4 linked regions of the Stegostoma tigrinum genome follow. The protein of the gene in region 1 interacts with the protein of each later gene in a pairwise test. Links are inferred from orthologs where the notes say so. Each region holds a gene or a part of one and is shown in the gene's direction. Other genes may lie near its edges. The genes, in order: klhl2, cul3b, txndc12 and tma16.

Region 1 (7,865 bases):
AGCATTAATGTGCGCAGCGTCAAGTCTACTGCAAGATGTGTGTCCACGTTGGCCTACCTGACCACTGTCAAGGCGGACCTACTGTTTCTGCAGGAGTGCGGGATACCGCACCTCAGCAGGTACGGGAAATGGTCCGGCGCCTGGACCTGTGGGCCTTCAATCTGGTCGGCGGGTAACGACTGTCGCTCCTCGGGCCTGGCTATTCTGCTGCGGGGGCGCAACTTCACCATCTCTCAAGTTCAGGAGGTGGTGGGGGGGGCGCCTCCTAGTGGCTGATGTAACCTACAGGAACGTTCCCCTCAGGCTGATCAACGTGTACGCCCCAGCGGTATGGAGTGAGCGGTTGGCCGTCCTGCAGCGGCTGCCACCCCTGCTGGCTACGTCCAGGACGGTCATCCTAGGCGGAGACTTCAACCGCATCATTGATGAAGATGGAAGATCCGGCGTGGGGACAGCGGGTGGGGGGAGTCAACTGGACGTCATGTCCAGATTCCTGATGGGCATGGTGAAGGACGCCAAGCTGCTCAACGTCTTCAGCACCCCTGCAGATGGAGCGCAGCGGAGATGCACCTGGTCACGGCCAGACGGCTCTATCCGCTCAAGGATAGACTTCCTGTTTGTGTCGCGGGCGTTCTCGGTCAGGTCCACCGGCGTCGAGCTGGTGTTCTTCTCCGACCACTGCCTCCTGCTGGCCGACTGTCACTTACAGGACGACCAGCAGGCCGGCAAGAGGACGTGGAAGCTCAACACGACTCTGTTGACCCCAGAGAACGGCGAGGAGCTTAAGAGGGAGCACGCCGGTTGGAGAACCGTGAAACCCCTCTTTGAGCCTCCGGGCGACTGGTGGGAGACGGTGAAGGAGAACATCAAGAGGTTCTTTGTCCTCAAGGGTGTTTGGAAGGTGAGAAAGGCGGGGAAAGCTGTCGCGACTCCAGAAAAGGGTGCAGAACCTGCTCCTTCTGCAGTTGATGAGGGTCGATGTCACGGAGGACCTCCGCAAGGTGAGGGGCCAGCAAGCCTCGCTTTTTGCTGCGGAGGCCTCCAGGATAATCTTCCGGTCCAGGGTCCGCTCCGTGGAGCAGGACAAGATGTGCTCGCGTTTCTTCTTTCAGAAGGTGCACAAAGAGAGCTCTGTGCTTAGCCGGCTGAAGGAGGACGACGGCTCGGTGACGTCGTCTCGGCCCGACATTTTGAGGATCAGCAGATCCTTCTATGCCGGGCTGTACGACACGAAGCCCACGGACAGCACGGCCTCTGAATCGTTCCTGTTGTCTGTCACGGAGGTCTTAGATGACGGCACGAGGGAGTGGCTGGACCGGCTGATATCCCTGGACGAGCTGACCAGAGCCCTCAAGTCCTTGGAGAGGAATAAGACTCCCGGGAGCGACGGCTTACCGGTCGAGCTGTATTCCGCTCTGTGGGACCTGGTCTGCCAGGACCTGTTGGAGGTGTATGATAGTGCGCTTCGGGCAGGGGAAATGTGCAAGTCCATGAGGAAGGACATCATCACCCACATTTACAAGAGGAAGGGGGACAGGGAAGAAATTAAGAATTGGTGTCCCATTTCACTATTGAACGTGGACTACAAAATCTTGGCCAAGGTCATAGCCAACCGGGCCAGGTCTGTCCTGGAGCCGGTGATTCACCCTGACCAAACCTGTGCTGTGCCGGGCAGGAAAATCGCTGAGAGCCTTGCGCTCATCAGGGATACAATCGCCTACGTGCAGGACAGGTGGGTGTACACCTGCCTTGTCAGCCTGGACCAGGAGAAGGCCTTCGACAGGGTCTCTCATGCTTACGTGAGGGACGTCCTCTCCAAATTGGGGTTCGGGGCGGACATCCGCAATTGGATCCGGCTGCTCTACACCAACATCGTTAGCGCAGTCTCGATCAACGGGTGGGAATTGGACAGTTCTACTGTCAGATCTGGAGTCAGGCAGGGCTGCCCGCTGTCTCCGGCCTTGTTTGTGTGCTGTGTGGAGCCCTTTGCCGCATCCATCAGGAAGGCCGTGAGCCTGAAGGGCGTGACTATCCCAGGCAGCGGAGGCCTTCAGGTCAAGACCTCCCTGTACATGGACGATGTCGCCGTCTTCTGCACTGATCGTTGGTCGGCGAGTAGGCTGTTGGACATCTACGGCCAGTTTGAACTGGCCTCGGGTGCCAAAGTCAATAGGGGTAAGAGCGAGGTCATGTTCTTTGGGAACTGGGACGACCGCTCCTTCATCCCCTTCACCGTCAGGACAGACTACCTGAAGGTGCTGGTGTTTGGTTCGGTGGAGCTGGGGCGTGCACTAAGACTTGGGAGGAGTGTATCACCAAACTGAAGCAGAAGCTGGGCAGGTGGACGATCCGGTCCCTCTCCATTGCGGGTAAGAACCTGGTTGTCAGGTGCGAGGAGCTTTCGGTATTGTTGTATGTGGCGCAGGCCTGGCCTATTCCCTGGACCTGCGCCGCTGCGGTCACCCGGGCCATCTTCCACTTCATTTGGGGGTCAAGGATAGACCGGGTCCGCAGCGACACCATGTACAAAGACCTGGAAAATGGAGGAAAGGGCGTACCGAACGCCACCCTCGCCCTGATGCCTACCTTTGTGTGCGCCTGCATCAAGCTGTGCATAGATCCTCAGTACGCAAACACCAAGTGTCACTACTTACTGAGGTTCTACCTGCCCCTGGTGTTGCGAAGGATGGGCCTGGCCTCGTTGCCGCGCAACGCTCCGAGTAGTTGGACTGTCCCGTACCAGCTGTCCTTCATGGAGAAATTTTTGAAGGGAAACACTTTTGACCACAAGGCCGTCAAGCAGTGGTCAGCACATAGTATCCTCGAGACCCTTCGGGAAAAGGAGAGGGTGGATCCCATCATGTGGTTCCCCACGCAGACTGCCAAAGTCGTTTGGCAGAATGCCTCATCGCCAGAACTTTCAAACAAGTACAAGGACATTGCTTGGCTGGCGGTGAGAGGGGCTCTGCCAGTGAGATCCTTTATGCATGCCCGGAATCTCTGCACCACCGCACGCTGCCCTCGAGGTGGGGGGGACGAGACTCTCGATCACCTCCTTGTAGAGTGTGCCTATGCACAGGAGGTCTGGAGGGGGATGCAGTGGTATTTGTCGAGGTTCGTCCTGAGCAGCTCCGTGACGCGGGACTCCGTGCTCTACGGGCTGTTTCCTGGGACGCACAACGAGACCAACATCAACTGTGCCTGGAGGACCATCAATGCGGTGAAAGTCGCTCTTTGGTCTGCCTGCAACTTGCTGGTCTGCCAGCTGAAAGAACTGACCCCGACCGAGTGTTGCAGACGGGCGCACTCCAAGGTCCAGGACTACGTGCTGAGGGACGCGGTAAAGCTTGGGGCAGCTGCTGCCAAGGCACGGTGGGGAAAGACCACCGTCTGAAACCCCTTGTCCAGAATAGGAAAAAGGGCCCTATCTGGTAACTGGGCCCAGCTGGCACCTTCTCCAACTGGTCACGGGGCCAACGGGGACTGTGCGGGGAGACGACTGCCGGAGTATTTTCTTCGCTTTGTTTTTTTTTCTTGTTTGCTTGTTTTTTTTCCCCTTTAGTTGGTGTACGTAGCCCCTGGGTAACCTGGAGCGGCTTGCATGACTGGGCAGGTGTATAAATGTTTTTTTTTGTACATTCTATGAATAAAGTATATTTTTTCAAATAAAAAAAAGTGATGAAACGTCTGAAAACTAACCTTCCAGCTCAGCGAGCAAACTCACATCCACAATAAAGCTGCAGATTCTGAAGCTGTCAGCTGAATTTCTCATTGCTTTTTACCTGCCTCAATGTCATTTTCCCAGAAAAAATAATGCATTCTTTCCACATACTGGTCTCAGTCTTTGACAGCAGGATCGACAAGTCAAACTTTCCACATAATGCCATGATGCCAGAAATGCATATCCCAAATCAAAGATGAATGTTGTGAACAAATTTCTTCAGGTGCACTTCTTTTTCTCTTGTTGCCACTGAAATAACTTCACAGAGGCCAGTGTCCCGTCACCAAGTCACTCTTCATTCACACGTGGAGAGTACTTGACACTCAGAACTAGACCTCAGAATGAACAGGACGTCTGACACTCCTGGTTATATTTTTCAGCCAGGGCTCCCTGATTGGACCAGATTAACAGCCCCAATCAGGGAACTCATATTCTATGAGAACTATCTTAATGACCTCCTTATATTCACTAAAAAGATCACAATGCCTCAGACAAGGTTGGGACGCAGCACCTTCATGGTAACTTTAGCCCTTATCTGTGAAACCCCAATGGCCCTAGAAGCCTCTAAGATATTGATACTTCTTCAGTATACTTCTTCTAATAGCACTATAGAAATGCAAGTTATTGTTGTCAACAGAATCAATAAAATAGTTGCTACGGAAACAGTGTCGGCGTACAGCAACAACCCAGTGACGAAAAAAGTGCTTTGGGCGAAACCTTATGCTGCACAAATTGAATACAATGCCGAGCGGTTTTGGTTTCACTTTAGATGTGCAATTGCTGTATGCATTTTTAAAAAGAAAATCTGGCAGAATCACGTAATTTCAGTACAGAAATCCTGCAGTTTGTTCTAAAGTACATGGTTTTAAATATGAAGCGCAGTTCAGCATTCACTGCCAAAGGTAACCTGGAGGCAGGCTCTGGATACAATGCCATACAGTCCTCTACAATTCCCATATTAGGGCTGCTTCTTCCAGGTCCTCCAACCCAGAGGGAGCTCCTGGTACGGCAATACCTGGAGAATATCACTTTTGACAGTCGAAGCGGAATAAAAAAAGTTGGAATTGGGAGGCAACTGGAAGCTTTCGGGGAGTGGGGGAGGGTGGAAGGAGGAGGTGAGGAGAGGAGCATTGTGGGGTATTGGAGGAGGAGATGGTTTGCAGGCGCCGCCTCCCTGGTTTCCCCTAAGGGTCAGGCTGAGACAGTCGGAGCAGCGGCTGCCTCAGTGACCGCCCGGGCAACAGCACAGACAATGGAACGCGCGCGGAGCACGGGGAAGCATCCCACGCGCCTCTGAGTGGAATGGTGCAGCGCGCCGAGCTCACTCAGCGCAGTCGGCAACAGGCGGAGGACACAATGGAGATACAGCAAATGTGAGTCTGTTAGCTCCAATCACAGCCAGGGGCAGGGCAGGGCTGGGGGAAACTCCGGCCAGGAGGGACAACCCGGCTTAGGGCGGGGGCGGGGGCGGGGGTGGGGAGAGGGAGGGTCTGGGTCATGCTTGGAGCCTCCCCGCTCACATTTGTGGAGAAGCGACTTTACAAATGCCAGGAGAACTGAAGTGGGGTCGAGGGAAGCACAAGCTGGAGTTTTTGATAGCAAATAGCAATGCGGTTGTTTCAGCATTTTAGCAATGCCGCAATTTAACTCTATGCAAAAGGGTAGAAATAAGTGAAAATTGGGAAGTGTCAAAGAGTTATAAGTCTGTTGGTGTTATAATTTAGTTTTTTTTTTGGGGGGGGCGTTGGTCAGAGATTTGAGCACCTGCCCATGATGTCCGGTAGCTGTTTCTGTAGTGAATATTCTGATGCATATATAGTTGCACTTTTTTTTTGGTTGAAAGATGTATTAAATGTAGGAAATTGTGTTGAGCTATGTTTTATTTCAGGGGGGACGAGCTGTAAAATTGTTTCACGAGTACAATAAAGAACGAACACTCAAGAAAATGTATATTTTTGGAGAAGATCAGTGCACCTCTTACAGTAGCAACTGTGTAAATGACAGTTATGTATTGTGGCATTGATACTAAAATTTCACTGTTTAGTGTGTTAAATTTTAATGCTTCTGCATTCAGAGCATCCATTCTCAATTTCAGTATGGCACAATGGTGGGCATATGCTTTAGTTGTACTATTGATTTTGAATTGTAAAGGGAAAGTAACACTGGAACAATATAACACCTGAACTAGTGGAAACAATTGAGGTGACGAATTAAGGGACAAGAAGCATATCTGTCTAATTCTGAAGCATGCGATCTTCCCTAATTCCTACTGTCAATGCTAGATTTGACATTGCAGTTTTTAATATTATCTTTGTAAACATATCTGTGTTACGTGTATTTTTTTAAATGCTGCCTATATTTTCCTTTCTTGGGTATGTGTTAAAGATAAATTTATAGATTATTTGTTTTATAGCCTGATTTTCTTTTCTTCCTGTCAACTGAACCAGATAATGGTACCATGACTGATTCTGTGGGTGAATGAACGATATTGTGTTGTATATCATTAATGCCTGCAGTGTGACTTCTAGATCTAGTTAACTAATCTTACAATTTGGGTATAATTCTACAGGTCATTTTTTAGTGATTTTTGGTTAGACAGAAGCAAAACTGCATAGGCTCGTTTTTCTTTCATTTCTGTGCATTGATCCTGGTTGTAGATGTATGTATATGCTGAGTGATGATTACTCCACTTGCATATTGCCACCATCCCTTGTTCCAATTGTTGGAACTCGAATGGATTGGGCCTCCGTAACCTGCCTCAAAGGTGTAAATTGGAGGCCTGTAACAAATACAAGTCTGAACATATTAATTTTGTGAGGGCAATTGCATGAAATATTCTGACAGAGGTATGTTGCGTTGAAGTCTGAAACAATTCTGCAAACACAGGAACTAAAACAGAAATTGCTGGAAAAGCTCGGCAGGTCTGGCAGCGCCTGTGAATTTCGGGTCCAGTGACCCTTCCTCCAGAACAATTCTGCGAAGCTTGTTTGGAAGAATGTATTTTATTTCAGTTTTTCTGGAGCAGTGAAATCAACCAGACATCCCCTGAACAAATAAAAGAAATGGATCCTGATCTGTAATTACCCTGGAAAGGCAGTGGTGTTAGCAGCCCTCGGTGTAGGGCCACCCAAGGTGCTTTTGGAAAGGAAGTGCCCTCCTCCCCTTCTCCTTCCCCCCCCCCCCCCATTAATCAAATTTTTGGGTTTAAGAATAAAAAGTGAGTACTAGGTTTTCGATCCAGCAACTGGACTGGATGATATAGTTTTGAATCGGGATGGGCGGGGGTGGTGGATCTAGCAGGGTGGTTGTGGTCCTATTTATCTGCTGCCCTTGCCCTTCTACCTGGGTTGAATTTATGTTTGGAAGGTGCTCTTAAAGGGGTCTGGGTGTTGTGCTGCTCTGCATTGATGGAACATGCTGCAGCCACTCTGCAATAATAGTAAAGAGGGTGACGGACTTCCAGAGGGTTGTGAATCTGTGAAATTCCCTGTCCAGTGAGGCAGTTGAGGCTACGTTGTTGCATGTTTTAAGGCAGGTGGAGCAGACTCAAGGGGCCAGATGACCTGTTTCTTGTGAAAGTTGAAAGTGGTGGATGGGCTGGATTGTGCCAAGGTTTTTGAGTTTTATGGATCTTCACCCATCCAGACAAATGGGGAGTATCGCGCCACACTCATGGCTGGTAGATGGTGGACGGTTTTTGAGAAAACGTGAGTGAGTTAGTTACCACAGAATTGAGTCACAGAATCTGTGCCCAGTTCAGTTTCTGGTCAACATTTGTGCCAGTAGTGGGGGATTCAGTGATGGTAATACCATAGAATGTCAAGTGGAGGTGGTCATTGATTAGAAAGATAGTGTGAAAGTTGCTGCAGCTTGTATGTTGTCTAGGCCTTGCTGCACATGGATAGAGATTACTTCAGGATTCGAGTTTTGTGAATGGCATCTATTGCGCTAAGTACAACTTAACGGAGATGATGGCCTACTGGTATTATCACCGGCCTGATAATTCAGAACCCAGGTAATATTCTGGGGACCTGAGTTCAGATCCTGCCACGGCAAACCATGAATTTGAATTCACTAAAAGATCTAGAATTAAGAGTCTAATTGTTGGAAAACCCCATTTGGTTCACTAATTCCTTTTTAGGGA
Region 2 (7,678 bases), on another chromosome or scaffold:
GGATTGAAAGATAATCTGTTCCATCACATGAAAAACCATGGCAGCAACTCCCAAATTCAACAATTTGAGGGATGATAACAACAGCAGCAGCAGCATCTCGGCTGATTGACAGTTGTGTCTCACTGGGTGATTGACAGTGGCTGGTACCCCAGATGGTTGACAGCTTCTGGGTGGTTGACTGCTCTAGAAATGTTTAAAATCTCTCTGACTGATCAAAATTTCCCATTAATAACAGCTCCATGCATGACTGACAACTTCTTGGGTGATTGGCAACTCTTAGGAAGATTGATGCTCTCAATGAGACTGCCAGCTCCCTGAATTATTGACATGATTGTCTGCACACTGTCTGATTGACAGCTGTATGAATGGTTGCCAGGTCTCATGGAGATCGACAGCCCTCCTTGTGATGGACAGCTTCTGGGTTACTGACTGCTGTCGGCATGTTCGGCAACTTTTGGTTTGATTGACAGCTTCCTGAGTAGTGATAGCACTAGTGATTGACAGATCTCTGCATGATTAGTTTGACAACTCCCCAGATAATTGACAGCTGCTGGGTCATTAACAGCATCCTAGCTGATTGACAATTTCCCAGGTGACTGACAGCTCACAGGAAAATTAACAGCTCACCATAGTTATGACAACTCCTCAGCAGTTGGCAACACTCAGGATAACTGACAGCTTTAGTTGTCGTTGACAGTTGTCGGGGTAACTAACAGTTTCCTTTTTAATGATCCATTTCAAGGTAATTGACATCTCGTGAGCTAATTTACAGCTTATCAGTTGATTGACAGTCCTCTGGGTGATTGAAAGAGAGGGTAAATCAGCATTCAGTTTTCTACACAAATGCTCTTTCCTGGTTTCAAACCGGGATTCATTTGCATGTAAAGTGAATGTGATACCCACTATGCTACAGAAACAGGACACTGTTGGATGATTGGCTGCACTCAAGGATTTTTACAGCACTTGATGTGATATTGGCATTTCCCCAGGGGAATGATGCTCAGGATTGATTACACCCAAAATGGAATGTGTGAGTGATGTTTTTATTCATTCATGGGATGTCGGTGATGTCCACTGGGCTATCATTTATTGCCCATCTCTATTTGCCCTTGAGAAGGGTGGTGAGCTGCCTCCTTAAACTTCTGCAACTTATTTGGTGGGGTCAAACCACAATACCCTAAGGGAGAAAGTTCCAGGGCTTCCACTTGGTGACACTGAACGTACAATTATATGTTCCCAAGTTAGAATTGTGAATGCTTTTGGAGGGAAGCTTGCAGGAGCTGGTGTTCCTGTGCACTTGTCGCCTTGTCCTTCTGTATGGAAGTTGGCATGGGTTTGAAGCTGCTCTCAAGGGAGCCTTGGTAAATTTCTGTGGTGCATCTTGTAAACAGTTCATACTGCTTGCTGCTACTGTGCATCAGTGGTAGACAGGGTTAATGTTTGTGAATGTGGTGCCAATCAAGCAAGCCACTTTGTTCTGGATAGTGTTAAGCTTCTTGAGTGTTGTTGGAGCTGCACTCATGCATGCAAGCGGAGAGTATTCCAGCACACCCAGGAATTGTGGATTGTAGATGGCAGGCAGGCTTTGGGGAATCAAGAGTTGAGTTATTGTTGCAGGATTCCTAGCTGCTTACCTGCTTGTGTAGTCACATTATTTGTGTGGAGTGTCCAGTTCATTTTCTGGTCAATGTTAATCCCCAAGATTTTTAGAATGGAGAGATAAATGACAGTAATGCTATTGAATTTCATGAAGCAATGGTAAGATCCTCTCTTATTGGAAATGGTCATTGCCTGGCAGTTACTTGCCACATTTTAGTCCAAACCTAGATATTGTCCAGGATTTGCTGCATTTAGATGTCAATTGCTTCAGTATTCGAGGAGTTGCAAATAGTGCCCGAAGATTGTTCAACTATCAGTAAACATTCCACTTTGACCTTATGACAGAGAGAAGGTCATTGATGAAGCAGCTGAAATTGATTCAGCCTAGGACATTCCCCTGAAGAATACCTGCAGAGATATCCTGGAACTGAGTTGACTGACCTCCAACATCCCAAACATTGTCCTTTGGTACAGATATTACTTGAACCCGCAAAGAGATTCCCCTCACAATTGTGATTTCTACTGACTACAGATTTGATGGAGCTCCTTGATGTGAAACTTGGTAAAATTGCAGACTTGACATCAAGGGTAATCACTCTCGCGTCATCTCTAGAATTTAGCTGTTTTGTCCACATTTGAACTAATGCTATAATAAGGTAAGGAACTGAGTGGTCCTAGCAGAGCCCAAACTGATGATCAGTGAAAAAAAAACAAAGAACTGTGGATGCTGGAAATCAGAAACAAAAACAAGTAATTGCTGGAAAAACTCAGCAGGACTGGCAATGTATGTGGAGCAAATGTAGAATTTTAACATTTCAGATCCAATGACCCTTCTTCAGAACTGACTGTACAGGATCTATGGAGAGGGGGTGGGGGAAGGGGGTTGGAGTAAGGGATAGGCAGAGGTGGAGACCAGAGAGAGAGAAAAACAGTTGTGCAGACAAAAACATGGGTACAGGTCAACCTAGGAGAATTAGCAGCTGCTAATGGGGACTCTTAGTGGCTGACAATGGTTTGTTTTTGGCAGCAGCCCATGTAATAACAAGGTCTGGTGTGTGGGGTTGGAAATAAGGTCAAGGGGAAGGTGCTCAAGCCCCAAAATTGTTGAATTCGGTATCGAGTCCATAGGCTGTAGGGTTCCAAAGTGGAAAATAAGGTGCTGTTCTTACAGCTTGTGTTGAGCTTCTGTGGAGCTCTGCAGCAAACCCGAGACAGAGATGTTAGCGACAAAACATAGTGGTGTGTGGAAGTGGCAGACAACCGAAAGCTCACTAAACCAAAAAACCAAAAGAACGGCAGATGCTAGAAATCAGAAACAAAAACAGAAATTGCTGGAAAATCTCAGCAGATCTGGCAGCATCTGTGGAGAGAAGTCAGAGTTAGTGAGAGCTCAGAGTCATTTCTGCAGACAGATCCCCTCCTTCCACCCCATAATCAGCATATGTAACAACTCCCTCCCAGCTACAATAAGTTCTGAAGAAGTGTGGCTGGTCCCAAAATATTCATTCTGCCATACCTGCTGAGTTTTCCAGAAATTTGTTTTTGTTCATGAGCGTCAGTGAGCAGGCTATTGACAGGTTTTACAGTGATTAACAGTTTCTGGATTGTTGGCTGCTCTCTACATGATTGATACTCCTTGTGTTAATTCAGCTCCCTGGGTAATTGACAACTTTCAACACAACTGACTACCCCCATTGAACTATTGCCAGCTCCTAGGTCATTTAATCCTCCCAAGTGATTGACGGACTTTGAAGTGATTGACAGCTCATGGGGCAACTAACAGCTCCCATGAAGACTTTCAGGTCACAGGGTGGTTGACAGCTTTTGGAGTGATTACCAGCTTCCTGGTTAATTATAGAGTCCCAGATAACTGATAGCTCTTGAGGTAATTCACAGCACCCTTGTTGACTAAAAGCCTTCTGGATGATTAACAACTCCTCAGGTTACTGGCAGCTTTCAGGGATATTGACAGCTCTTGACGTGATTCACTGTTTCAAAGGTGAATACGACATAACTTATGATCGACTGTAGCCTAGATAACTGAGATCTTTGCCAATGATCGACAGTTCCCAGGATGATTATTAGCTCCTAGTTGGTTGACAACTCCCTAGAGGATCTACAACACACCGGATTGTGGGCGATTGACAAATTTCTGGGAGATTAACAGCTCTTAGGAAGATTGGCAGCTTGTGGGGCGAATTTACAGTTCGCGTTTAACGGTTGGCTAGGTTTTTCACAGTTCCTAGTGGGTTGACAGGATTGCAGCAGTGTGAAACTATTCGAGTCTTTGATCACTGCATTAATCACATTGCCAGCTCCCTGGGTAAATGACAAGTCCAAGAGTGATTGACAGTTCCTGAATGATTCATGGCTCACAGGGTGAATGACAGCCCCTGGGTAACTGACAGTTCCTAGAGTGAGTGATGTTCCCAGCTTCTGGTGATTGACTGCTCCCTGGGTAGTTGGCAGCTCACAGAATGGTTGGCAGCTCACAATGTGATTGAAAGCATGTGGACTGATTGACAGTTCCTTGGGTGGTTGACAACTCTGTGAATTACTGACAGCTCTGGGTTTGATTGAAAACTCCAGGTGATTGACAAATCCTGGGTAACTGATAGGCCAAGGGCGATTTACAGCTGCCGAGTGATTGACAGTTCCAGGGATGATTGATGGCTGCCGAATGATTGACAGGTCCCAGATTGATTGACAGATACAAGTTGATTGACAGCTCCATAGCAATTTATAGCTCCCAGGTTGCTTGACAGTGACAGGTTGACTAACAGCTGCAGAGTGATTGACAGTTCCCCAGGTTGATATACAGTGACAGGTTCATTCACAGCTGCAGTGATTGAGAATTCTCGGATTGATTCACAGCTGCAGTGATTGACCAGTTCTCAGGTCGATTCACAGCTGCAGGTTGATTGACAGTTCCCAGGTTGATTGACAGCTGCAGATTGATTGACAGTTCCTAGGTTGATTGACAGAGCCTGACGCGTCACTGCTGCGGACGTCAGTCTCGTGTTCTCCCTGCGAGTACAGGGCCGAGCTCTCGCGATATCGGACTGTCGACTGACCTGCGCACTGAAGGTTTCGGCCGCCATAGAGCCGGGCTGGTATTTTCCAACAGATTTTTTTTGATATTAAAAATTGTTTCATGGTCGAAGGTCCTGCTGCCTCTCACTTGAAGGGGGTCAGATCAACCCGAATCACTGGCCGTGGATCCCGTCTAATCGAGAGGTTTAATTGTAGCTCGGTCTTTTATCGGAACTTCCACTCCCCCTTTTCTTTTTCTCTCCTCCCCTGTAAGTGAGTCCTATGTGAAAGAAATCATCCGCCAACATGTCAAACCTGGGCAAAGCTGGGACGAAGAAAGACACCAAGATGAGGATACGAGCGTTTCCCGTAAGTAATGACCCCGTAGCCGCAATTTAACAGAACAAATGAAAGGAAATGCGCCGCACGGGGACAGAGAGGCTGCGAATGCTTCAAATCGAGGGCCCGGGCTTCTACGGATGTCAACACAGGAGCAGGCCCCTTATCGTTTGATTAATATTCATGGTGCTCCGTGAAGGCCAAACAGAGAGGCTGTTTTAATCCTTGGCTGTTTGTTGTGATGACCTCCCCCATTCAGGAACACAAAGCGCTGTGTTATGTTGTCATTTTTTAATTCACTTCCTCCATCTTTCTCTCGCCATCAGCCCCCTCCCCAAAAAAATCTGTAGAATATTATTGGTTCTGACATATTGAAACACTAGGTAATAAGTTGTAAGGTGCGGCTTACGTTTTCTGAAATAGTTTCACAACTTCGGATATTTTTAGCTTTCTTTTGAAAGTGATGGAATGGTAGTGTGGAATGTTAAGTATTTACTGTGTTTTCAGTCAAGTTGAAACACTCTTTAGGTGGTCTGTGACATGGACTGGTTCACTACTGAATACTTAGATTTGTGGTCACAATAACTTGGGTTATGCTCTGAAAACTTAATTGGTAAGAGCTTTGTGACTGGACTGGTACACCAACGCCTGGTGGAATATTTGGTTCTCTATCTTTTGCAATATGCATAAGTTGAAAGGTGAGAAGAATGTCTCCTTCAGAATTGACCTTAGTGAGTTGAAAACCTTGAAAGAAATGCTCGAATCATTTCCAGCAGATTTGCTGTATATCATATGAAATACATATGTAGTAAGCTCAAATATATTTTTGCAACTACTGGTGAAAGTTTGAAACTGTTCAAACAGCACTTAACTGCTTGAAAATATTTTGCAAAGGATAACAGTATTAATAAATTTTTAAGCAGGGCAAACTAGATAGCAAGTGTTTTATCCCCTCCCCTCAAATGAATTTGAAATTGTGCGGTGATTGCCTTCTACCTGGAAGAATAACACATTCAACATGTGAAACAACTTCTGTATAAGCGGGACAAGGAGCACTTCCTATGTAGAAGTTACTGTTAAAGTTCATACACTGAGAGTTTCGTAGGCACAAGGTTACAGCATAACGTTTGTTCACAGTTTCAAGTTTACTAGCGGAACATGTTCAATTAAAATAATTTGTGCCAAGCGTTCGTCATACTGTTTTTTATGCAACTTCTGTAACATTTTGACACTGCTGATCTGTATATAATTCTGAAATTGGTATGTTACTTTATGGATGTTCTTTGTATGGTATATTTGCTGAAAGACATCAACTTTGTTAATTACTAAACAGAGTGGAATTAAACGGTACTAACCAATTTTGTACTTTCAAAAAATTCTCCTAAGCTAACTAAAGTTATTTTTTAAATGGTGTAAAGATCACTGACCGTAATTTGAAAAATTAAAAGGATAGAATTATGTGGTGTATTGCCAATGTAAATTACTTTAATTCTATTACTTCTGTCATGTGCTCAGGAGTAACTGTAGAGCAAAGCCAAGATTGCTGTTTAGCTGATATGTTTGTGAAAATGGACATTAGAGATATTGAACAGGGGCCTACTCACTAAGTTCTGTACTTCTACCAGCAGGTGCTTCCCATAGGAACCCTTTGCAGTGTAGTTCAAGATGTCCAAAAACTAATTCAGCTGTGTTTAATCAAAGCACAACTGAAAGATTGGATTGTAAAATGAAAAGCTGAAGTGCAAAAACTATATTTTTTTTTAGTTTTGGTTTGGCTTATGATATCTTCCATATATAAAAACAGAATACCTGCACCCACATTGTTCATTTTCTGGTCAGTTGAGGATCATTAGTTAGCATACTCATGGCTTCTCCCAGTGTTGTGGGGTAACAGTAGGTATTTACTGCTGCCTGCATTGCCCATTTCCTACAGCAGTGATTTGAGATCCTCTATGAATTGGTGATCATTACTTGCTCATTACCACTTTGAGTTCTGAGTTACCATCTGTTGTACTATCAGGATATCTTTTTAAAAACAAAAATTCAGTTTCAGTATCATAAATGTTTCAGAAGTAAATGAGATCATGCTGTATTGGTGTTTATATTGAAATGACTAAACAATGTTAGTTACTACAATTAATTATATAGTTATTGTTTTACTGATTCAGCTGCCTTCTCTAACTATACTACTATTGTACTGTATCATTTGCAAAATCACATTCATCGAATTTAATGCCAACTAGAAATAAAGGCCCCCTGCAGAAAATTTACATCTTCGTAATGGAACAGTTGTTGGTCAGTTTTAGAATCAGTTTGCACATGATTGTCATTTTAATGTAGAATATGCATTTTAATGGTGTGAAAAAAGACACTTTGAAATACATTGTTTGGCTACGTTGATCCATTTGTAAAAATAGCTTTAAAGTGAAATTCAGACAATTGTATTTGCAGCATTGCCAAGACCACTCAGTTAGTGCTAGAGGTTTTTGATTTAAATGGGGTGTAGCATGAATACTGAATTATTTACAACATGGTTAACCTGATTGGCAGTTACCTAAAATTACGAAGAGCATTTCAATTTTTTTCTATCAACACTGAACAGGATGATAGACACAATACGGGTGGGTAAAAAGGCTCATAATAGGGGAATGTAACATTGCTGAACAGAACTTGATGCATTCCGATCAGATTTCATTCTTGTAAGCAT
Region 3 (6,997 bases), on another chromosome or scaffold:
GTCCATTTCAAGCCCACCGACTCCCACAGCTACCTCCTCCCACCCACCCTCCTGCAAAAATTACATCCCCTATTCCCAATTCCTCCGCCTCCGCCGCATCTGCTCCCACAATAAGACATTCCACTCCCGCACATCCCAGATGTCCAAGTTCTTTAAGGACCGCAACTTTCCCCCCACGGTGATCGAGAACGCCCTTGACCGCGTCTCCCCCATTTCCCGCGACACATCCCTCACACCCCGCCCCCGCCACAACCGCCCCAAGAGGATCCCCCTCGTTCTCACACACCACCCTACCAACCTCCGGATACAACGCATTATCCTCCGACACTTCCGCCATTTACAATCCGACCCCACCACCCAAGACATTTTTCCATCCCCTCCCCTGTCTGCTTTCCGGAGAGACCACTCTCTCCGTGACTCCCTTGTTCGCTCCACACTGCCCTCCAACCCCACCACACCCGGCACCTTCCCCTGCAACCGCAGGAAATGCTACACTTGTCCCCACACCTCCTCCCTCACCCCCATCCCAGGCCTCAAGATGACATTCCACATTAAGCAGAGGTTCACCTGCACATCTGCCAATGTGGTATACTGCATCCACTGTACCCGGTGCGGCTTCCTCTACATTGGGGAAACCAAGCGGAGGCTTGGGGACCGCTTTGCAGAACACCTCCGCTCAGTTCGCAACAAACAACTGCACCTCCCAGTCGCAAACCATTTCCACTCCCCCTCCCATTCTCTTGATGACATGTCCATCATGGGCCTCCTGCACTGCCACAATGATGCCACCCGAAGGTTGCAGGAACAGCAACTCATATTCCGCCTGGGAACCCTGCAGCCATATGGTATCAATGTGGACTTCACCAGTTTCAAAATCTCCCCTTCCCCTACTGCATCCCTAAACCAGCCCAGTTCATCCCCTCCCCCCACTGCACCACACAACCAGCCCAGCTCTTCCCCCCCACCCACTGCATCCCAAAACCAGTCCAACCTGTCTCTGCCTCCCTAACCCGTTCTTCCTCTCACCCATCCCTTCCTCCCACCCCAAGCCGCACCCCCAGCTACTAATCTCATCCCACCTCCTTGACCTGTCCGTCTTCCCTGGACTGACCTATCCCCTCCCTACCTCCCCACCTACACCCTCTCCACCTATCTTCTTTACTCTCCATCTTCGGTCCGCCTCCCCCTCTCTCCCTATTTATTCCAGTTCCCTCCCCCCATCCCCCTCTCTGATGAAGGGTCTAGGCCCGAAACGTCAGCTTTTGTGCTCCTGAGATGCTGCTTGGCCTGCTGTGTTCGTCCAACGTATGAAATAGGAGTAGGCCACCTGCCCCCTTGAGCTTGATCTGCCATTCAATGAGCTTCAGGGTGATCTGATTCCTTTCCCATATTTTATAACCCGACAGTCACAATACCTTAATGGCAATTAAATCATTCTCATTTACTTCTATTTGTGCTTTCAAATTGTCAACTTTGATGTGAATCTGCATGTATTCAGACACAATGCCTTTAATTCTGCCTTTTTAATTTCATACAGTACTCTAAGGTTCTTGAGTAGATTTGTTGCTTGGGTTGTGGATGCTGTGGTTGGTTTGCCGACTGAGCTGTTTCGTTAGTTCGCACACATTTCATTACCCTGCTGGGTAACATCATCAGTGCAGCCTCCAATGAAGTGCTGTTGTGTTTTCCCACCTGGTATTTAAACTCTGGCGTCCGTTGGATTTGAATACCTCATTTCTGGTTTTCCTTTGCAGTGGTCCGTGAATATAGGGTCGAGTTCTATGTGTTTGTTGATGATCTTCTTGGTAGAGAACCAGGCCTCGAGGAATTCCCATGCTTGACTGTTTGGCCTGTCCTCGGATTCTGGTGTCAGATCTGATCTAATTTGTGGCCCTCTTAACTGTAAATTCTTGCTACTACTGCTATTTGTAGTTTAATGATAATAAAATGTGAGGCTGGATGAACACAGCAGGCCAAGCAGCATCTCAGGAGCACAAAAGCTGACGTTTCGGGCCTAGACCCTTCATCAGAGAGGGGGATGGGGGGAGGGAACTGGAATAAATAGGGAGAGAGGGGGAGGCGGACCGAAGATGGAGAGTAAAGAAGATAGGTGGAGAAGGTGTGGGTGGGGAGGTAGGGAGGGGATAGGTCAGTCCAGGGAAGACGGACAGGTCAATGGGAGAGAGATTCCCTGAGGTTGGTCCGGAGGGAGGAGGGTAACTTCTTCAGGTTAGGCATCCCTGGAAGAGGCTTCGCAGTGAGGTTAAAATAGTATCAGAGATAATGGGAACTGCAGATGCTGGAGATTCCAAGATAATAAAATGTGAGGCTGGATGAACACAGCAGGCCAAGCAGCATCTCAGGAGCACAAAAGCTGACGTTTCGGGCCTAGACCCTTCATCAGAGAGGGGGATGGGGGGAGGGAACTGGAATAAATAGGGAGAGAGGGGGAGGCGGACCAAAGATGGAGAGTAAAGAAGATAGGTGGAGAAGGTGTGGGTGGGGTGTTTTGTGTTATAGCTTCACACTTTGAGACTTCGTTTTTAAATTAGCCAGGTGCTGGTCCTGGTGAGTCTGCCTGCCCTCTTCTTTGTAGCAGAATTAATCTCCTGGTTTAATGGTAACAGTGAGTGAGGGATTTTCCTAGTTATGAGATTACAAATTGTGGCTGTTGATGGCCCACAGCATAGTTCTAATGTGTTTAGTTCTGAGTCACTAGAAATCTGTCCTATTGAGCATAATATGAGTTTTACACAATACAGTGTAATATATCCATAATGTGAACGTAGCCACTTTTGTTTCTAGCATGACTGTGGTCACTCCCACCATTATTGTCATTATGGACACCTGCAACAGGCAAGTTGGTGAAGATCAGGTTTCACATTACAGTTTTTAATGTCAGATAGGATGGGGAAAAATCTATATTGGTGAAGATGAGGTTAGGTAGTTTATTTCCTCCTGTTAGTTCCTCCACCACGTACCGCAGACCCAGTCTGTCTGTAATATTCTTCAGGACTCAGCCAGCTTGAGTAATGGTGCTGCCACCAAATCACCTTTAGCAATTGACTGAGAATATATTCTGTGCCATTGTCACTCTCAATGCTTCCTTTCAAGTGGCAATTAGTTTTCAGCATAAAGGAGTACTCATTCATTAGCAGAGGAGTGCTGAAGAAGGTGTGGGGTTAGTTGGTGGTAATCAGAAGGCTGTTTCCTTGCTCATGTTTGGTCTGATGTCAAGAGACTTCATGGGGTACAGAGTCAATCTTGAGGACTGCCAGAGGGCAACTCTTTCCATTGTTTTCACTTCTGGTGAGTCTGTTCTGTCAGTAGGACAGGATATATCCAGGCACGTTGACAGTGGCATCTGGAATATTGTCTATAAGGTATGATTCTGAGAGTACTTCAGGTGAAGATGCTGCTTCACTGCTGTGGGACAGCATTCCCAGTTTTGGCACATACCCCTGGACCTCAGTAAAGAGGATTTTGCAGGATTGACAACGCTGGTTTTTATGTTGTCATGTCCATGCCTAAGTAGTTGCTGGGTAGCCCATCCAGTCTCACGCTTTTGTTTAGACCTGGAGTGGGCCTTGCACGCACAATCTTCTGACTTGCTGAATCCCATACAGCGCGACCAGGTCTCTGGATCATCTTGATCTTAATTGTTCCACCATTGGTGGCTGTACTTTGGATATTTTACGTTAAAGTGACCGTGTAAAAACAAGTTGCTTATTTTAATATGTTGCTAAATATTACCATGCGGAGATTTGTGCATATCAAGTAAATATCTCACGAGCGAAGCACCTTCCGATAGAATTTATTAACTAATTCTTGTACAGTACATGTATATCTTGAGATGTTACCATTTGGACGATGCGTTGAACTGAAGGCTTGCATATCCGCAAAAGACTCCGCGGCACGATTCCGAACAGAATGGGTTACACGGCGTTCTGATGCGTCAGAAATAGTAAGAACTGCTAATGCGTCACTTCCTCTGAGCTTCTACTTTCCTTGAGTTACTGGCGAGAGGGTCAGAGCCGATAATGAAGCTGCAAAGGTACCTGTATCTCGTCCTCCTTAACATTCTTCTGATCTGCTTTCAAACATATGGGAGCGAAAGTCTTGGAAGAGGTGGGTTAGTTTATATTTGTTTTATTTAAACGATGGCTTTGATGTGGTTTAATTGAAAACCGTGGAAACGCAAAAAATCGTGTGTCTATGGCTAATCCGTTACCTCTGTCAATCTTTCTCGCATTTGATTAGTCATTCTGATCTAGAACTCAGAAATAATGGGAACTGCAGATGCTGGAGAATCCAAGATAATAAAATGTGAGGCTGGATGAACACAGCAGGCCAAGCAGCATCTCAGGAGCACAAAAGCTGACGTTTCGGGCCTAGACCCTTCATCAGAGAGGGGGATGGGGAGAGGGAACTGGAATAAATAGGGAGAGAGTGGGAGGCGGACCGAAGATGGAGAGGAGAGTATAGGTGGGGGGAGGTAGGGAGGGGGATAGGTCAGTCCAGGGGAAGACGGACAGGTTAAGGAGGTGGGATGAGGTTAGTAGGTAAGAAATGGACGTGCGGCTTGAGGTGGGAGGAAGGGATGGGTGAGAGGAAGAACAGGTTAGGGAGGCGCGGCTTGAGGTGGGAGGAAGGGATGGGTGAGAGGAAGAACAGGTTAGGGAGGCAGAGACAGGTTGGACTGGTTTTGGGATGTAGTGGAGGCAGGGCATGAGCTGGTCTGGTTGTGTGATGCAGTGGGGGTAGGGGACAAACTGGGCTGGCTTCGGGATGCGGTGGGGGAAGGGGAGATTTTGAAGCTGGTGAAGTCCACATTGATACCGTTGGGCTGCAGGGTTCCCAAGCAGAATGTGAGTTGCTGTTCCTGCAACCTTCGGGTGGCAGCATTGCGGCACTGCAGGAGGCCCATGATGGACATGTCATCTAAAGAATAGGAGGGGGAGTTAAAATGGTTTGCGACTGGGAGGTGCAGTTGTTTATTGCGAACCCAGCGGAGGTATTCTGCAAAGCAGTCCCCAAGCCTCTGCTTGGTTTCCCCAATGTAGAGGAAGCCACACCGGGTACAGTGGATACAGTGTACCACATTGGCAGATGTGCAGGTGAACCTCTGCTTAATGTGGAAAGTCATGTTGGGGCCTGGGATGGGGGTGAGGGAGGAGGTGTGTGGGCAAGTGTAGCACTTCCTGCGGTTGCAGGGGAAGGTGCCAGGTGTGTTGGGGTTGGAGGGCAGTGTGGAGCGAACAAGGGAGTGACGGAGAGAGTGGTCTCTCCGAAAGGCAGACAAGGATGGGGATGGAAAAATGTCTTGGGTGGTGGGGTCGGATTGTAGATGGCGGAAGTGTTGGAGGACGATGCGTTGTATCCGGAGGTTGGTGGGATGGTGTGCGAGAACGAGGGGGATCCTCTTTGGGTGGTTGTGGCGGGGGCGGGGTGTGAGGGATGTGTTGCGGGAAATGCGGGAGACGCGCTCAAGGGCATTCTCAACCACTGTGTGGGGGAAAGTTGTGGTCCTTGAATGCCTCATTCTGGGAGCAGATGTGGCAGAGGCGGAGGAATTGGGAATAGGGGATGGAATTTTTGCAGCAGGGTGGGTGGGAGGAGGTGTATTCTTGCCCCCACAACTCCTCCCTCACCCCCATCCCAGGCCCTAAGATGACTTTCCACATTAAGCAGAGGTTCACCTACACATCTGCCAATGTGGTATACTGTATCCATTGTACCCGGTGTGGCTGCCTCTACATTGGGGAAACCAAACAGAGGCTTGGGGACCGCTTTGCAGAACACCTCCGCTCGGTTCATAATAAACAACTGCACGTCCCAGTTGCGATCCCTCCCCCTTTTAACTCCCCCTCCCATTCTTTAGCTGACATGTCCATCATGGGCCTCCTGCAGTGCCACAATGATGCCACCCGAAGGTTGCAGGAACAGCAACTCATATTCCACTTGGGAACCCTGCAGCCCAATGGTATCAATGTGGACTTTACCAGCTGCAAAATCTCCCCTTCCCCCACTGCATCCCAAAGCCAGCCCAGTTTGTCCCCTCCCCCCACTGCATCACACAACCAGCCCAGCTCATCCCCTCCACCCACTGCATCCCAAAACCAGCCCAGCCTGTCTCTGACTCCCTAACCTGTTCTTCCTCTCACCCATCCCTTCCTCCCACCTCAAGCCGCACCTCCATCTCCTACCTACTAACGTCATCCCGCCTCCTTGACCTGTCCGTCTTCCCTGGACTGACCTATCCCCTCCCTACCTCCCCACCTATACTCTCCTGTCCACCTATCTTCTTTTCTCCATCTTCGGTCCGCCTCCCCCCCTCTCCCTATTTATTCCAGTTCCCTCTCCCCATCCCCCTCTCTGTTGAAGGGACAAGGCCCGAAACGTCAGGTTTTGTGCTCCTGAGATGCTGCTTGGGCTGCTGTGTTCTTCCAGCTCCACACTTTATTATCTCTGTTCTATAACTCCTCTATTTTTGTCATTTGGACCCAGTCGTTGACCGGAAATGGTGAAGACCTTGATAGGTAACAGGTCCAGCAGCAAATAGTTTACTTAATTTCCATTTTTGTCTTCTAGTGTCCCACACTCTAAAGAATTGCCAATGAAGAAAACAATCGTTACGCGCACGGTAGTGTGTATAATGAATACCAAACAAATTTAAATGATCCAATTCCATTGAATTGAGATATTAAAATAACATTGTATGAGGTTTTAGGTGTCGACGTTTGTCTCTAACAATTTGTCAGAGATGGAAATTCATAGGAATGGCAACCTTTTTTCAGGATTTGGAGACCACATTCACTGGAGAACACTGGATGATGGAAAAAAAGAAGCAGAAGCCAGGTATGCAAAGCTAAGTAGAAACTTCCTGTTCAACTTCTGACTTGGAATTTGTGATTTTAAACTTTGTATATTTAGTTGGCAATTGACTGGCTTCCTCCTGGAATATCAAAGAGCCAAATTTGTCAGTATGTCTTAATGT
Region 4 (7,504 bases), about 12 Mb from region 1:
GGCCCAAGCTATGCCTGCATCTTTGTAGGTTATGTGGAACAGTCCCTCTTTCACACCTACGCTGGCCCTAAACCCCACCTCTTCCTCCGTTACTTTGATGATTGTATCGGCGCTGCCTCATGCTCCCAAGAGGAGCTCGAACAGTTCGTCCACTTCACCAACACCTTCCACCCCAACCTCAAGTTCACCTGGACCATCTCCAACCCATCGCTCCCCTTCCTGGACCTTTCCGTCTCCATCTCAGACTACCACCTACAAACTGATGTCCATTTCAAGCCCATCGACTCCCACAGCTACCTGGAATACACCTCCTCCCACCCACCTTCCTGCAAAAATTCCATCCCCTATTCCCAATTCCTTCGCCTCCACTGCATCTGCTCCCAGGATGAGGCATTCCACTCCCGTACATCCCAAATGTCCTCATTCTTCAAGGATCGCAACATCCCCCCCACAGTGGTCGAGAACGCTCTCCACCGTGTCTCCCACATTTCTCGCACCTCATCCCTCACATCCCGCCCCCACAATAACCGCCAAAAGAGAATCCCCCTAGTCCTCACATACCACCTCACCAGCCTCTGGATACAACGCGTCATCCTCTGACACTTCCGCCATCTACAATTCGACCCCACCACTAAAGACATTTTTCCAACCCAACCCTTTTCTGCCTTCCGGAGAGACCACTCTGTCCGCGACTCCCTTGTCCGCTTCACACTCCCCTCTAACTCCATCACACCCGGCACTTTTCCCTGCAACTGCAGGACGTGCTACACCTGCCCCCACACCTCCTCCCTCATACCTATCCCAGGCCTCAAGATGACTTTCCACATCAAGCAGATGTTCACCTGCACATCCGGCAATGTGGTATACTGCATTCACAGTACCCGGTGTGGTATCATTGGGGAAACAAAACGGAGGCTTGAGGACCGTTTTGCAGAACACCTACGCTTGGTTCGCAATAAACAACTGCACCTCCCAGTCGCAAACCATTTCACTCCCCCTCCCATTCCTTAGACGACATTTCCATCGTGGGCCTCATGCGGTGCCATAATGATGCCACCCGTAGGTTGTATGAACAGCGACTCATATTCCGCTTGCGAACCCTGCAGCCCAATGGTATCAATGTAGATTTCACCACCTTCAAAATCTCCCCTCCGCCCACTGCATCCCAAAACCAGACCAGCTCGTCCCCGCCTGCCTGACCTGTTCTTCCTCTCACCTGTCCCCTCCTCTCACCTCAAGCTGCCCCTCCACTTCTTATCTACTAACTCATCCCGCCCCCTTGACCTGTCCCTCTTCACCGGACTGACCTACCCCCTCCTTACCTACCCACCCCAACCCGCCATACTCTCCTCTCCACCTATCTGCTCCTTTAACCATCTTCGGTCCGCCTCCCCCTCTCTCCCTATTTATTTCAGAATCCTCTCCCCATCCCCCTTTTCTGATGAAGGGTCTAGGCCTGAAACGTCAGCTTTTGTGCTCCTAAGATGCTGCTTGGCCTGCTGTGTTCATCCAGCTCCACACTGTGTTATCTCAGATTCTCCAGCATCCGCAGTTCCCAATATCTCTGGTATTTCAAATTAGATGCTTTCTATGTCTTTAGTTTTCCCACATCAGCAGATAAAAATCCAGTCCAATGTTTCTTCTTGATCCCACTGTCAACAATATGTCCATTTGTACCTTTTCCAGTCACACTTTCTAATTGTTTGCGCTCTAACCTCACAACCTCCCTCGCTCCCACTCACATACATTCTGAAATAGACAGAAATTCCATATCCTACTTTTACAAAGCCAGCTCTCCTACTGCCATTTGTCTTTTCTCATTGTTGAGGGTAATAACTTTAAATGCCTCATAATCACCTTTCTGTCTCACACTATCCTTCTATACTATATTGTTGCTTGGGTCCTGTTGGGATTCTTTGACCATTTCTTTCCCCAATAAATAGGAACCAGACATAAAAGAGTTTAAATGAAAGATAAGCAATTGTTTTGAAGAGTACAGATCCTCCTTCACCCCAGGGCAGAACAGCTTTCTCCTTTCCCATGTCCACAGAGCAGTCCCCGCAAATTCTCTGCTATCTCCACTTTCTCTCTCTCCTTTACCCCTTTCCACCTGTCCTACATCCACCCCTCATCTCTTTTGCCTCTTTTCCATTCCCCTAATATCCCTCTGCTCTTCCTTCTTTTTATACCTCTCCTCACCCTCGTCTTTTCACCCACTGATCTTCCAGTCCTTATCTCTTCCTCAACCACCCTTGTAGGCCTTCCCATTTCCCGATCCACGTTAAACTCTCTCCTCCCCTTCAGCTATCATCCTCTACCTAACTCCCCTTACCTGTCCAATCTAGCACATTCCCTCTTTGCACAGTGGATCAGTAGTTAGCATTGCAGCCTCACAGCGACAGGGACCCGGGTTCGATTTCACCATTGGGCAACTGTTTGTGCGGATTTTGCACATTCTCCCCGTGTATGCATGGATTTCCTCCAAGTGCTCTGATTTCCTCCCACAATGTAAGATTTGCAGGCTAGGTGGTCTGGCCATGCTAAATTGCCTTTAGTGTTCAGGGATGTGCAGATTAGGTGGGTTATGGTGGATGTGCAGATTAGGTGGGTTATGGTGGATGGGTCTTGGTGGGATGTTCCAAGGGTCGGTGTGGACTTGTTGGGCCAAAGGCCCTATTTCCACACCGTAGGGAGTCTATGATAATGATTATGATCGTTCCTCCTACCTACATGCCCTTGTCATTTCTCCACCTCTTCCTCCCTTACCCTCTTTCCTCCCCTTAAACTATTCCTTTATTCCCTCCCCTCATTATTCCTTACCAGCCTTTTCTTATCCTTGCCCTCTCTAATATTTCCTCCCTACATTCTTTTTCCTTCCTTTTCCTCACCCTGCCCCATCCCTCCTCCTCCTCCTTCCCCCATTTCCTTACCTTTCTTTACTCTCCTCCTCGCCATTTCTCTTCCTCTTGCAGTATCTCCTCATCCCATTCCTCATTGTCACAGTGCACCTTGATTCTCCATCCTCTCGCCTTCTCACCCTTCCCATGCTCCTTCCTTCTTTTGTGCCAAATCCTTCCTCACCCCCACTCCTTCCTTCCTCATCTTTCCATCCCCATTCCTTAGCTCCAGGTGACACTAAGATTGGTGGACTAGCAGATAGTGAAGAGGATGTCGGAGAATGCAGCGGAATATAGATAGCTTGGAGAGTTGGGCAGAGAAATGCCAGATTGAGTTCAATCCAGGTAAATGCGAGGTGATGCATTTTGGAAGATCCAAATCAAGACCAAACTAAACGGTAAATGGAAAAACCTTGGGGAAAATTGATGCACGAAGATATCTGGGTGTTCGGGTCCATTGTACTCTGAAGGTGGCAATGCAGATCAATCGAGTGGTCAAGAAGGCATACGGCATGCTTTCATTCATCGGACGGGGTATTGAGTACAAAAGTTGGCAGGTCATATTACAGTTGTACAGGACTTTGGCTCGACCACATTTGGAAATACTATGTGCAGTTCTGGTCGCCACATTACCAATAGGATGTGGATGCTTTGGAGAGGGTGCAGTGGAGGTGGTAGAGGCGGGCACGATAGCGTAATTTAAAATGTATCTAGACAGATACATAAATGGGGCAGGGTGCAGATGGATACAGATCCTTGGAAAAATAGGCAACAGGTTTAGGTAGTGGATCTGGATTGGTGCAGGCTTGGAGGGCCGAAATGCATGCTCCTGTGCTGAAATTTTCTTCATTCTTTGTTCTCCCTTCTACGTTCTTTCATAACCCCTTTCCTTTCTCTTACTCTCCTTAGCCTTCATCCCACTGCTTTGTCTTGCCATCTTTTTCTCTTCCTCTCCACTTTCTGCTGTCCCCTCCTTCCTTTCACCACTCTCTTCCTTACATTCATCCTCTCATTCCTCCCTCTCCCCTCCAATCCTTCCTTACATCGCCCTGTCCCTTCCCCCTCCCCACTTCCTTTCACTCTCTTCATCCTATCTCCCCACTTCCCATGAGATAGTAAGAACTGCCGATGCTGGAGTCAGATATAACAGTGTGGAGCTGGACGAACACAGCATGCCAGGCAGCAGAGGAGCAGGAAAGCTGACGTTTCGGGTCGAGACCCTTCTTCAGAAAACAGTATCAGAGATAATGGGAACTGCAGATGCTGGAGAATTCCAAGATAATAAAATGTGAGGCTGGATGAACACAGCAGGCCAAGCAGCATCTCAGGAGCACAACTCCTGAGATGCTGCTTGGCCTGCTGTGTTCATCCAGCCTCACATTTTATTATCTTCTTCAGAAAACGTCTGCTTTCGTGCTGTCAGGCCTGCCGTGCTCCTCCAGCTCCAGTGTTAACCCATTTTTTCCCGGTCTGCCACCTCACCTCATCCTCCCTGTCTTTAGCTACCCTTTTCTTCATTCCCCACCATAATATGCCCAGGCCCGCTTACCGGTACTTCAAGTTTCTTTACTCTCTCAATACTGCGCATGCGCCGGTGCCATTCCGGAACCCTCTAATCTGCTGTTGATATTGAACGGGTAGGGGGACGACGAGAAGGGAGTGCACTGAGTTCTTTCCGGTGGATGTAGCGTGAACGGCTTCAAAATGGTGAGTGCGTTTGTACGGCTGGTCGGCTATCTGTGTTCCTTTGAGGCGCCTCAAATTTCGTGCTGAGTTGAATTAACTTTCAACATTTCAGTTGACCTTCCTCCACCAGTACGTGCCAATCCTGACTGTGCGCTCCGTGGAAAAGATTTTCCCCATATTTTTACTGTTTTGGATCGTGATCCTTCCACCACTATAAATAGTTTTTCTTTCTACTATGCGCTGACTCCTCATGACTTTGAGTATAGTCTCGAGCTTTTAAACAGCAGAAAGACGTCTTTCGACCCATCTTGTCCGTGAAGATTGTTCTCAAATCAAACAGCACGGAAACAGACCCTTCGGTCCATTATGCTTTATGTAATCCTAATCTAAACTAGTTCCAAATGCGTTCTCCAGGCCCATATCCCTCCAAAGATTTCCTATTCATGTACGTATCCAAATGTTTTTTAAACGTTGTTATTGTACCCACATCCACCACTTAGGAAGTTCATTCCACACGTGAACTACCCTTTGTAAAAAAAAGCCCCTCAGGCCTTTTATTAAAATCTCTCCTTTCTCCTTGAAAATGTGCCTTCACGCTTTAAATCCTGACGTTAGGGGAAAACAAACTTGCTATTAGCCCTATCTACACTACCTAGAAGGTCACCTCTCAACTTCATACACTCCAGTGGGAAATGTCTCAGTTTATCCAGCCTTTCTTTACAACTCATACCTTCTATACCCAGCAACATCCTGGTAAATCTCTTCTAAACCCACTCCACCTTAATAATATCCTTCCTATAACTGGGCAACCTGAACTGGACACAGTACTCCAGAAAAGGCATCACCAATGAATGACCTGTATGACTTCCCAACTCCTATACTCTAAGGACTGAGCAATGAGGGCAAGTGTGTTAAATGCCTTTTTAACCATCCTGTCTATATGTGATGCAAACTTCAAATAATTATTTACCTGAACCCTTGGGTTACTCTGTTCTACAACTCAACCCCAAGGCCCTACCATTAATTGCATAAACCTAACCCTTGTTTGTTGTACCAAAATGCAGTACCTCGCATTTACCCAGATTGAAATTCATCTGCTATTTTGCAGCCTATTGCCCCATTTTGATCAAGGCCCCTTTGTAATCATAGCAAACATCCTTCACTGCACAATGCCACCATGTGGATTGATAAAAACCAAAAGGACTGGAGATAGTGTAGAGAGGTAGTAGGAACTGCAGATGTTGGAGAATCTGAGATAACAAGGTGTAGAGCTGGATGAACACAGCAGGCCAAGCAGCATCAGAGAAGCAAGAAAGCTGGCGTTTCAGGCTGAAAAATTTTTCTGAAGAAGGGTCTAGGCCCGAAACGCTGGCTTTCTTGCTTCTCTGATGCTGCTTGGCCTGCTGTGTTCATCCAGCTTCTACACTTTGTTATTGCAGATGCTGTAAATCAAAAACAAAAACAGAAGTTGCTGGAAATGCTCAGCAAGTCTGGCAGCATTTGTGAAGAGAAATCAGAGGTAACGTTTTGGGTCTGGTGACCCTCCGAGCTCCTCTTCTGTTCTGAGCAAGGGTCACCAGACCTGAACCGTTAACTCTGATTCCTCCTCACCGATTCCAGTTGACCTGCCGAGCTTTTCCAGCAACTTCTGTTTTTGACAGCAATGTTGGTGTCATCCGCAAACTTACTAACCATGCCTTCTCATCCAAATAATTCATATAAATAACAACTAAAAGAGGACCCAAATATATCAATCTCTGTTCTATTCCGATTTTCTAGTATTTGGCTTGTAAGCTTGTAATGCCTCAGTGATTCTAGTGTTCAGCTTAATAACTGAAACACTCTGAAGGTTCCTACCTCTGGCACTCATTTCAGGCAGTGAGTTTCAGATTTACACTGCCTTGTGTATGGAAAAAAAAATCTTTCTTAAAAACCTCTGTGATTCCTCGGCTCTTTATCTTAAAACTGTGGCTTTGGTCATTAACCCTGTGCAATGTTTCTGCTCATCTACCCTCAATTCTGTACTTCTCAATCAGATCCCACATCCCAGCCTCATCTGCTCCAAGAAAAACAACCCCACCCTATCTAGTCTCTTCATAGCTGATTCAGTTTAGTCCAAGCAACATCCTGGTGAATCTTAAGGGTAATCACATCCTCCTTATAGTCTGCCAACCAGAACTGCACACAGGATCAAAACCAGAAATTGCTGGAAAAGCTCAGCAAGTCTGGTAACATCTTGTGGAGAGAAATCAGAGATAACATTTCAATTCAAGTAACCCTTCCTCAGAACTGGTGGTAGCTAGGAAAATATCAGTTTGTATGCAGAGGATAGGGTTTGGGGAAGGGGATAAAGAATAAACAATGAGTGAGGATCGAGGCCAAAGTTGGACAGACAAAGGAATGGATAATGATCTGGCTAGAAGGTGAATGGAGACTGTTCGTGGTTCACAGTGGATTGTGTGTAATCGCCGACTATGTGTTAACAAGGTCGGATGTGTGGGGTTGCAGCAAGGAGTTGGGTGGTGTATTGGAATGGCAGACAATTGGAAGCTTAAGGTCTGAATTGCCTGCAGCATGTAGATGTTTTGCCAAGTGGTCACCCATCAAAGATTCATTTCCACAATGTAGATGATATCACATTGTGAGCATTGAATGAAGTAGACGAGATTGCGTGAAGGGGAATATGGGCCTGGTGGTGGCACCTTGCTGGAGCTGATGGAAATGGTGGCTAATGGATGTGAATGCTGGTGGGATGGTAGGAGAGGACAAGGGGGACCTTAATGCTGCTGCAGGAGGGAAGAGGGGGGTATGGGCCAAAATGTGAGAGATACGTTGGACCTGGCTGAGGGCCCTGTCAACAAAAGTGCTTAGGAATCCTTGGTTGAGGAAGAAGTTTGTCATTTCAGAAGCACCCTTGTTGT

What was found.
Region 2: the proteins of klhl2 (region 1) and cul3b interact in binary tests that used the Homo sapiens proteins (3 or more experiments, as listed by UniProt). The two-hybrid records come from large-scale screens. The link is inferred for Stegostoma tigrinum from reciprocal best matches to the Homo sapiens genes KLHL2 and CUL3.
Region 3: the proteins of klhl2 (region 1) and txndc12 interact in binary tests that used the Homo sapiens proteins (3 or more experiments, as listed by UniProt). The two-hybrid records come from large-scale screens. The link is inferred for Stegostoma tigrinum from reciprocal best matches to the Homo sapiens genes KLHL2 and TXNDC12.
Region 4: the proteins of klhl2 (region 1) and tma16 interact in binary tests that used the Homo sapiens proteins (3 or more experiments, as listed by UniProt). The two-hybrid records come from large-scale screens. The link is inferred for Stegostoma tigrinum from reciprocal best matches to the Homo sapiens genes KLHL2 and TMA16.

Annotation. Positions count from the first base shown.
Region 1 is NC_081354.1:56,995,462-57,003,326, forward strand, and holds the start of klhl2 (kelch-like protein 2), read left to right. Parts: upstream 1-4,859; 5' UTR 4,860-5,023; coding exon 5,024-5,094; intron 5,095-7,865. UniProt on the Homo sapiens protein: Substrate-specific adapter of a BCR (BTB-CUL3-RBX1) E3 ubiquitin ligase complex that mediates the ubiquitination of target proteins, such as NPTXR, WNK1, WNK3 and WNK4, leading most often to their proteasomal degradation.
Region 2 is NC_081367.1:24,434,292-24,441,969, reverse strand, and holds the start of cul3b (cullin-3b), read left to right. Parts: upstream 1-4,668; 5' UTR 4,669-4,938; coding exon 4,939-5,001; intron 5,002-7,678. UniProt on the Homo sapiens protein: Core component of multiple cullin-RING-based BCR (BTB-CUL3-RBX1) E3 ubiquitin-protein ligase complexes which mediate the ubiquitination and subsequent proteasomal degradation of target proteins.
Region 3 is NC_081361.1:64,051,316-64,058,312, reverse strand, and holds the start of txndc12 (thioredoxin domain-containing protein 12), read left to right. Parts: upstream 1-3,984; 5' UTR 3,985-4,040; coding exon 4,041-4,128; intron 4,129-6,797; coding exon 6,798-6,858; intron 6,859-6,997. UniProt on the Homo sapiens protein: Protein-disulfide reductase of the endoplasmic reticulum that promotes disulfide bond formation in client proteins through its thiol-disulfide oxidase activity.
Region 4 is NC_081354.1:44,928,155-44,935,658, forward strand, and holds the start of tma16 (translation machinery-associated protein 16), read left to right. Parts: upstream 1-4,500; 5' UTR 4,501-4,601; coding exon of another isoform or gene 4,602-4,604; intron 4,605-7,504. UniProt on the Homo sapiens protein: Involved in the biogenesis of the 60S ribosomal subunit in the nucleus.